Linked DNA regions of Arabidopsis thaliana. The protein of the gene in region 1 interacts with the protein of each later gene in a pairwise test. Each region holds a gene or a part of one and is shown on either strand. Other genes may lie near its edges.

Region 1 (5,555 bases):
ACACTGGAAGTGTCAAATTGAAGATATTCCTCGTCGCTGATGTCAATCTCTGGTTGCTCATCATCTGCTACTTCAGCTGAAACATTGACTTTTGGGATGGCCGTGTTGGTTAAAGCAGCCTGCAGGAGTATAGTCAACAAGTGCATTAAAGCATGTGATCAGCCTTGAGGAAAGATGACTTTTGGGTTGCTTAAACTATCAATTGGAAACATATCGTAAAGCTACTAAAACCAATAACAAGACAACTACATTGAGCTAATCTATATACACTTAACTAAAGACCCATTCCCTTTCGTTTCCTATATTCTCTGGCCTTTCCTTTCTCATGATTCTGATTGATGGGTATGATTTACTCACTAACATTCGTAACTAAAACCTGAGACTAAGGGTTAAGAGAGAAAACCAAACACACATCACAAGAATTACCTTAATGGCAGCACCCAGGGCATCCAATAGATTCCCATCCGAACTAATGACAAGACCATCAATATAAAGGTCCCAGCAAACTTTTCCTTCTTTGATTAAAAGCGAAGATAAATTTATTCCAGCTCCTGGTACCAAAACATGAATTGCTATAAACGTTACAAACAGAAAGCGTAACAGTGTGCAGGTAAAAAAAAGCATTGCATAAACATGATTGCAGACCTGCTCCACTTTTGCCACCCAGAAGACATCTTTGAAGAGCCAAAGCAAGCTCAGAAGACAATTCCTCACCTCCTCTCCCCTAAGTAACAACATATCACAAAGAATTAGCCGCCTAAAGACTTAACACAGTAGAATTTAGGAGATTCTGAAGAAAAGTAATGATAACCAAAATCTCATGTTGAACAATTCCACTAGTAAGAGAAACACCAATAGAACGATAGAACGGGTGTGACAAGTGCTAGATAGAACCAAAACCAAACGAAATAAAAGAAAAGCTCACCCCAAATGTCGGTTCAGCTGTTGGACTGCAATCAATGAAAACTGCAACCTTTCCTTTATCGGGTTGAAGTGAACTTGGCCTCCCAATTTCAGCCTGCAATTACACAAGATTACTGGGTAACATCTACAATAGCACTTCCCATTCAACAATAGAACAGTAGCAGAGAGAACAAAGGAAGTACCTTTACACTAGCAATCACATCGGTTCCACCAATTCTAACTCTCGCTGAACCATTAGCCTAGAGCCAACAAAAACAAGAGAAAGAACATATCTGTTAAACAACTGGGAAGCAACAATGAGAAGCGGACGAGCTCTAGGAGATTACACTACCTGCGGAATAACACCGGTTTCGACGTAGATAGGACGGTAAGTCAATCTTTTCCGACCATCAGTTCGAAGATCTTGAGCAATCCCACCTTTAATGAAATGTTGTTCCCCAAGAGAAAGCCCCATCACTAATACTACACAGAGAACGAATTAGATCAACTGCTGAGGAATTTCTACCGGAATGACAAACTTCAAGGTTCACGGATTGGTGCTAGGGTTTAAGAGACAGCTCAAACAAAGTACACATCTTTATACAGCACAATCAAAACCCACTAATCTTCTTTACCTTCCCGGAGAATTCAATAGAAGACACAACTCTGAAGTTTTCCGGTGACCCTAGCGGCAACTTTGGATTGGTTAGGTTAAGAGAGAGACGTGACCACTGACAACTGCCGTAGGGTTTAAAGATGGCGTGAACATAATTATTGACACTTGTTAAGGGTAATTTAGTCATTTACCGACTTACCATTTTTTCACTGCTTTTTAGCGTTTTCTCGCTCTTCTGGTTTTTTCTTCAATCTGCCGGGAAGAAGTGCGAGCTTGGTGCCGATGGGTCGTTCGAAACTAGCTTCTCGTCCTGCTGAGGAAGACCTGAATCCAGGGTTCGTTTAAAGTTTCGTTCTTTGTCCATCTTAGCTCGAAGTCTTCTAGGGTTTTCTCTGTTCAATTACTTACTTGTCTTTGCGAAAACATTTCAATATCTGGTAATCCACTTAGCTGTGTTTGATTATCTGAATCGGAGTTCTTTTGGTACTTGTGGGTGGCTCTTGATTTCATACTGCTGTCGTCTCTTGTCTTTATCCTAATTTTGATGATTTTGGCTGTTTCAGAAAATCAAAAAGGAAAAAGATATCATTGGGTCCTGAGAATGCTGCGGCATCAATTTCCACCGGTAGGTTTCCGTTTACTTGTGCAATTAGGTGTGATACTGATAGGACTAAAGTTTCTGCTGTGGATAGATATGCATTGATGTATCATGTACCAAGCTGCGTTTTCCAAAAGTTCTTACATGTACCAATACATTGTAGGAATTGAAGCTGGGAATGAGAGGAAACCTGGCCTTTACTGTTGTAACTATTGCGATAAAGATCTGTCTGGTTTGGTTCGTTTCAAATGTGCTGTTTGTATGGACTTTGATCTTTGTGTGGAATGCTTTTCTGTCGGCGTTGAACTTAATCGTCACAAGAACAGTCACCCATATCGTGTTATGGTTAGTTTCCAACGCCGAGCAGTATATTTGAATTCAATTCAACGCTTTGTCAGCTGAAAAGTAATTAGATTAGTGATTGTGTTTAAAACAAAGAAAATGTTCTATGGTTGTATTTTTGTTTGTATTGAATCTACCCTTTTGTTTGACAGGACAATTTGTCTTTTTCGCTTGTTACTTCTGATTGGAATGCCGATGAAGAGATACTCCTTCTTGAGGTAATCATTAATCGTTTCTGATTGTACACTCCCATGTCTATATAGAGATTCCATCTGACTATTGGGAAGTAAATTGACTGTGTTAGGCCATTGCGACATACGGGTTTGGCAATTGGAAAGAAGTTGCAGACCATGTTGGTAGTAAGACAACGACAGAATGTATTAAACACTTCAATTCTGCTTACATGCAGTCACCATGCTTTCCACTTCCGGTAAGGACTGATGAAAACACATGATCGTCAGATAGTTGAACCTAGCTTGTTTATTTACTCTAGCTCCCCGCTCTGTAGGACTTGTCCCATACTATTGGAAAGAGCAAAGATGAGCTGCTTGCTATGAGTAAAGATAGTGCAGTCAAAACAGGTCAGCTTTAAAATCTATTAGCGGGGTTTCTTGTTGATTTGGGACTCGTATATTAACCTTGACTGAAAAAAGGAGGATGCTGAGCTCTGTTTACTATTTGTCACAGAAATACCTGCATTTGTGAGGCTATCTCCAAAAGAAGAGTTACCTGTGTCAGCTGAAATCAAGTATATACTTATGCTTGTAACAATAGTTTACCTACGTTTACAATGTTGAATGCACCTTTTTAAAAGTACTATTATGTTTCCATGGGCAGACACGAAGCTTCAGGGAAGGTCAATGAAATAGATCCACCTTTGTCTGCCTTAGCTGGAGGTATGTGAAAATGCTTTTATCTATATAAAATTGTAGACATTATTTGCACTTAGATTTATGGCTAAGGACGCAAATCATCCGCATTTCGTACTACGACCCCAAATATTATCTCTTCCATGATTCCATATGTAAAGTAATACTTTTTATTGTACAGTCAAGAAGAAAGGCAATGTACCGCAGGCTAAGGACATCATCAAGTTGGAAGGTTTGTTATATACTGGAACAAGTTTTTATGCAAAGTGATATTTACGCGAACAAAAACTAAAGGTAGTTAACGGCCCTTGTGTCTTAGCTGCAAAACAACAATCTGACAGGAGTGTCGGGGAGAAGAAACTCAGACTTCCTGGAGAGAAAGTTCCATTAGTAACAGAGTTATATGGTTACAATCTAAAGAGGGAAGAATTTGAGATCGAACATGACAACGATGCTGAGCAACTGCTTGCTGACATGGAATTTAAGGATTCTGACACAGATGCTGAGCGTGAGCAGAAACTGCAGGTTCTTCGTATTTACTCGAAAAGGTACACTTATCACAGGAACAACCATTTTTAAACCGGAGAATTTTTTCATAAGCCAATGCTACAAGCCAAGATTGTGCCTTTGTTGGCAGGCTTGATGAGAGGAAGCGGAGGAAGGAATTTGTTCTGGAAAGAAACTTGTTGTACCCTGATCAATATGAGATGAGCCTTTCAGCAGAGGAGAGAAAAATATATAAAAGCTGTAAAGTGTTTGCGCGGTTCCAATCCAAAGAAGAGCACAAGGAACTGATTAAGAAAGTCATTGAAGAGCACCAAATTCTCAGAAGAATCGAGGATCTTCAGGTTTGATGCTTAAAATTTTACCAAGCTTGAGTACTGGATTACAAACTCAATTAGGTGGGAACATTAAGTTGAGCTTTTAATAAATGTTGCAGGAAGCTAGAACTGCTGGTTGCAGGACAACTTCAGACGCAAATAGATTTATAGAAGAGAAGAGAAAGAAGGAAGCTGAAGAAAGTATGCTGCTGCGGCTTAACCACGGTGCACCAGGCAGTATAGCCGGTAAAACACTAAAAAGTCCAAGAGGGTTACCCAGAAATTTGCATCCCTTTGGTTCTGACTCACTGCCAAAGGTCACACCTCCAAGAATATACAGCGGTTTGGACACTTGGGATGTTGATGGTCTCCTTGGAGCTGACTTACTCTCAGAGACCGTAAGAACAATAATTTTCAAACTTGATGTTTGTCATCTTATTTGTGATTTTGTTGATTTGTTGACATTATTCCTATGGTTTGAGAGATTGAAGCTGTTTTTTGTGCAGGAAAAGAAGATGTGCAATGAGACCAGAATACTGCCTGTACACTATTTGAAGATGTTGGATATCTTAACAAGAGAAATAAAGAAGGGGCAGATAAAGAAAAAGTCTGATGCTTATAGCTTCTTCAAAGTAGAGCCGAGTAAAGTAGACAGAGTATATGATATGCTGGTTCATAAGGGAATAGGTGACTCAACATGACTCATAGCTTCATGGTCCTAACATGTACTTCTCGAACATATATTAGCCATGTAAATATAAAGGAAGGTGATGCTGATTTTGGTTACACATCTTGTTCTCTGTTAGTTTCGACAACTTGACAATGTCTGATTGTTATGACCTTCAAAGGCTGTTTCAGATTTTTTGATACAACGTTTAAACTGAATATTGTAATGCCTTCACTCATCTGATTCCTTCAATTTTTGTTATATGAGATCAGAAAGTCTTGAGACATTGCATCAGTTTTCAGGAAAAACCTAAATAAAACCAGATTCTTTGGTTACAAGAAACTACACTGGATCAGATTGCCATCCAACAACAAAGAAAAAAAAAAAAACAGACAGAAATCCAAAAACTTAATCTACATGAAGCCAAAAGCTTTACCATTTCTAAGGTTGCCAACTTTGAGTCTTCTCCCAAGGCTTGAAAACACCATCATGAGAAACATATTTCAAGTAAAAGAAAAAGCCACGCAGCAACTTCAAAGCTCTTGCCTTATCAACACCAACCACAAGCTTGTATTCTTTTTCGAAATCAGGGAAACTTTCTAGATAAGATTGTCCCAGTTCGTCAGTCTCATAATCAGATCCTCTTCCCTTTCGTAGTTCTCTGCATCGAGTCATTTTTTTATGGATTGATACGTAACGATGGAGCTGCTTCATCTCTCCTTCATCATATGGATTTTTC
Region 2 (4,168 bases), 6.5 Mb from region 1:
GGTCCAATTTAGATTTATCGTTGTTTTATACTCTCTCTCTCTCTAGCCCAATGAGTGTTCGAAACGTTGTTGGCCGACCAAAGTCCCGTGGCTAACTGTCACGTCTCAAAATTTAACAATGTCATGTTATCAATTTTAGATGAAAGTGAAAGTGGAGCGTCGTGTTGATGATACGTTTGAATCTTGAATGGATGTCTCGTTGACTTGTTATCAGTCGACCGACTTGTGTCGCCTTAACCACGTGGGTTATATATAGGCAATGTTTCTTCTACTTTATGATCAGCTTTAAGCATGTGGGTTATATAAGCTAGTAAGTCTATATACCATGTCAACTGATTCGTTAATGTGTTTGAGAACAAGTGTTTCAAGAGAAAGAGTCAAATACTCGATATGGTTTAGTTTAAAGATGGCCATTAACGATAAATTTGAAATGGTATATAGACTTAATTACTAGCTTAAAGTGGAAAAAGTAAAGCCTATATTTTGTTGTTATTACAAAGATATAAGGCTACAATAATACTTTATTCAAAAATCAAAACACTGAAGTAGTGAAGAAGATCAAAATTGTTGTTATTACAAGTGTGAATATATTACACAAGTCACCTGAAAGTACTTTTAAAAGGAAAACAAAGTCAACATATGAACTTTTAACAAATATAATCAGAAATTATATACTGTCAAAACTTTCTACAAACGATGACTACTGACTCAACTATGGATCTGTCCTTATTTTCTTTCTTTCTTTTGGTTATACATAAAATAATTAAGAACAAACACACAAAAAATAAATAATAATAATAATATAACAATAATAAAGTCTAAAGATCATATATCATGTGAAGCTAAACGCTAAAAGCCACCTCGAAACAGAGAAAATGGATAAGGCGGTGTTGTTGGTGGATTTGACTCTACCACTCCTCCAAACGTCGCCGTTTCTTTATACCTTCTTTCTCCCTGAATACTCCCACATCCTCCTCCTCCTCCTCCGTTAACACTCTCCGGCAAAGAAAACGTCGACGTCAAAGATGATGACGTCGACGACGTTGAATTCGAGAGCATCGACTTCGCCACCAAACCCGTCTCGTAACTACCAAACTGTCCTTGCGTCATAGGAACAATCCACCCATCCGGTGAATGATTCCGGTAAAGATTCTCCGTTGATGACGGCGACGGTGTTGATGATGACATAACCCTAAAGACCCTCCCTTCATCTTCTTCCACTTCTTCTTCCTCTGACTTCACCGTCGACATCGTGACACGACGCTTCTTCTTGTCGGAAACTTGTTGTTGTTGCTTTGTCCGTTCTTTCTCGAGCATCATTCTTGGAAGAAGATCAGGATCTTCAACGACTTTGTAAAGAAACGCCATCATCTGCTCCGGTCTCTTCTCCGTCGCTTCGATCCTCCGGTTCATCCTCTGAATCTCTGCCTCTAGCTCCCTCTGCTCTTCTTTTAACCGTTCGATCTCCCTCACAATCTCACCGTCCTCCAAATCTTGACCGTACATCCCCCGCGCGTGTTTCCTACGCGCTATGTTATTCAACAAATGCTTCTGTCCCCTTAGAAAATGCTCGTTCGCAAACTCCCACCGGTCCGGATCCACTTTCCTAAACCCCTAAAGTAAATAAAGAAAGGATCATTAGTTCGTAATCCCCTGTTTCCAGTTTCATGTATGAGTTTCGGTTATGAATTAACTTACATAGGTGTTGAGTTGACGAACAAAACTGCTGAAATTGTTGTGTTTGAAATAAGCAGGTAAGATTCGTTGCGAGAAGTCGAGTGGATCAACGACTATGAAACTGTTGTGAGCAGGTCCCCAAGTGATGAGCCAATCGGTGGAAGGATCATTGACCATCTGATATGTTTTCACGATGAAAGGTGCGATCACGTTGTTGTTGTTGTTGTTGTTACTATTGTCGTCCTCCATCTCTCTCTTTCTCTGTTTTCCTTATGGTTTATATGTTTGTTGTTGGTGGTGGTAAAGAAATTAAAGAGGAGCCTGGAGGGTTTATATAAAGATAGGAAAATGAGATGTGAAAATAGTAAGTTAAGTGTAGTTGACAGTGAGACTATATTGACGTGGCTTGCTTTTTGTGATAACGTGGCGGGTTCGTGTTTTGCCTTTTACGGTGTCACGAGTGAACTGTGGGACCTATGCAGGTGTGCCTCTAAGCTTTCAGGTCTTTTTTGCCCTTTTTGTTTTGTTTATATTTTCTTATGTCACAAGTTATGTGATACATTTGAAATATATGCATATTTAGGCATTGTTTTTTCTTAATTATAATTTTAAGTCATAGATGATTTAAGCTGCTTGACTAATTCTAAGGGTAAGCTAGTCCCAATATAGAAAGCTTAGTCCATCGATTTTTCAACTGGTTTCCGATCCCGAATTAGAAGGATATCTATGATTCATTTGTAATTTCTGCACAAACAAAATTATTTGTCATGATTTCTTTCTAATTCTTGACATGATTTGTTTCTTTCACTTTTTCACAAAAGAACCTCGTCCTCTTCAAAATACTCCAAAACTCTCAAGAGTGAGAGCAACTTATAAAAAAAAAACACATTTGGTGAAACAAACAAATCTTCTACAATGAATAGAGAGGGTATAATTTAATTTATTATATTATAATTTTTCTTTAGTTTACAATTATGTTAAAAAACGTTAGAAGGAACATGCTGTGTATTCAGATTTTAACTTAAAATATCCGACTAATTTAAAATAAAAAATTGCAAACAATAACACTAAATGCCAAGTAAACATGATTTTATAGACAAACTCTTCAATCTGCAAAAGCACTCCTATTTTCTTATACATACATATCCATGGACTCTGGAATAAATAGCCACACAAGTGTTGCTACTTGCAAGAGTTATTATAGGAGTATTATTAAACAATGATTAACATAAACTACTACAAATATAATTGCTAGGTTAAGAATTAAAACCAATAAGTTCCAATAAAAAATCACACGCATCAAAGGCATTACTATTTTATAGTTTAAACCACCACCGAGAAATCCAATAGCAATCTTATATAAAATTTTCCTAATTATTAATTGGATAGATTAATGGGATTAATCTAGACTTAATTAAGGGGACGTGGGTCAAATGCTAACCACATATTACGTATGATATAATAATATAAATAGTTTGAATAAAACAACATTTATAGAATCAAAGCATGGTCCTTAATCCTTGAGAGCCTTGGAGATAATGACCTCCTCGTATAGGCGAGAGTACAGTTCTCCACTTTTCATTTTTTTAATTGTTGTCTCCTCTCTTTGTTTTTCTTAAACTATAATTTACCTTTTCAATCGAATCTTAATTACAACTTTATTTGAACAATATATATATTACTCTCATCGCCAAATGGGATTAGCTATAATCCACAAGCTATAGCTTTTGTTTGTTTAATTACGTACTATCAGTAGTACAATTTCAAAACCTAAGGACAATTTTGATTTTTATGGGATACTTGAAATTATTAGTCAAGATTGATAGGTTTAATTACTTACTACGACAAAATTTTCCAAACTAATATATGTTTTTATTAAAATTAGCGCTTTGTCAACCTACAATTAAATTTATCTATTTCGATTATTATCAGTTACATAAATTGAGAGGACGATAAAAAAGTATTTTGAGACATCTCTTCCCCACCTTATAATTTTTGTTGTCCATAGCGAAATAAAGGAGAACAAGAGATAGTGTAACAGTGAGACGGTGACGTGGTATGCTTTGTAATAACGTGGCAAATTCGTGTTTGCTTTTTACATGCAGGTGCCACAAAGCCTTAGGTCAATTAGCTTTTCTTAGATGGCAAGTTATTAGTCCGAGCCGTTGTGTATTTGTGTGAGATGTTTTCAAGAGACGACGAGCGTGTGGGTGCTTGGATACTGACATGGTCCGCACTGGTTAGTGACGGAGGAACTCAGGAACAAGTACTGATTCGACACGTTGCGTAGAATCTTTTTTGTTGGCGATGCACACTCCACTAATCGAGTATTTTTGTATTTATGGAAAGTTTATTCATTATACGTTGCTTAATTCAGGTATACGACGAACATGATTTTTCATTTTTATTATAGTGTCACACAAATATTATAGGAAACTGATGTCGTACGGATAAAATAGTTTAGTAGACGATTATACGTCACTTCATACGT

The links. The genes of interacting proteins can lie anywhere in the genome.
Region 2: the proteins of ADA2A (region 1) and HSFC1 interact in binary tests that used the Arabidopsis thaliana proteins (3 or more experiments, as listed by UniProt).

The regions. Positions count from the first base shown.
Region 1 is NC_003074.8:2,469,309-2,474,863, reverse strand, and holds ADA2A (ADA2 2A), read left to right. Parts: upstream 1-1,768; 5' UTR 1,769-1,801; coding exon 1,802-1,854; exon of another isoform or gene 1,855-1,956; intron 1,957-2,082; coding exon 2,083-2,144; intron 2,145-2,227; exon of another isoform or gene 2,228-2,228; coding exon of another isoform or gene 2,229-2,280; coding exon 2,281-2,483; intron 2,484-2,611; coding exon 2,612-2,677; intron 2,678-2,763; coding exon 2,764-2,889; intron 2,890-2,967; coding exon 2,968-3,040; intron 3,041-3,146; coding exon 3,147-3,207; intron 3,208-3,296; coding exon 3,297-3,355; intron 3,356-3,509; coding exon 3,510-3,560; intron 3,561-3,647; coding exon 3,648-3,876; intron 3,877-3,965; coding exon 3,966-4,176; intron 4,177-4,268; coding exon 4,269-4,547; intron 4,548-4,655; coding exon 4,656-4,850; 3' UTR 4,851-5,033; downstream 5,034-5,555. Other genes in the region: AT3G07750 (3'-5'-exoribonuclease family protein), read right to left, coding at 1-119, 427-551, 646-724, 926-1,018, 1,107-1,163, 1,256-1,378; AT3G07730 (uncharacterized protein), read right to left, coding at 5,258-5,555. UniProt on the Arabidopsis thaliana protein: Required for the function of some acidic activation domains, which activate transcription from a distant site. The exact mechanism of action is not yet known.
Region 2 is NC_003074.8:8,939,213-8,943,380, reverse strand, and holds HSFC1 (heat shock transcription factor C1), read right to left. Parts: upstream 2,316-4,168; 5' UTR 1,927-2,315; coding exon 1,699-1,926; intron 1,670-1,698; exon of another isoform or gene 1,615-1,669; coding exon 850-1,614; 3' UTR 507-849; downstream 1-506. UniProt on the Arabidopsis thaliana protein: Transcriptional regulator that specifically binds DNA sequence 5'-AGAAnnTTCT-3' known as heat shock promoter elements (HSE).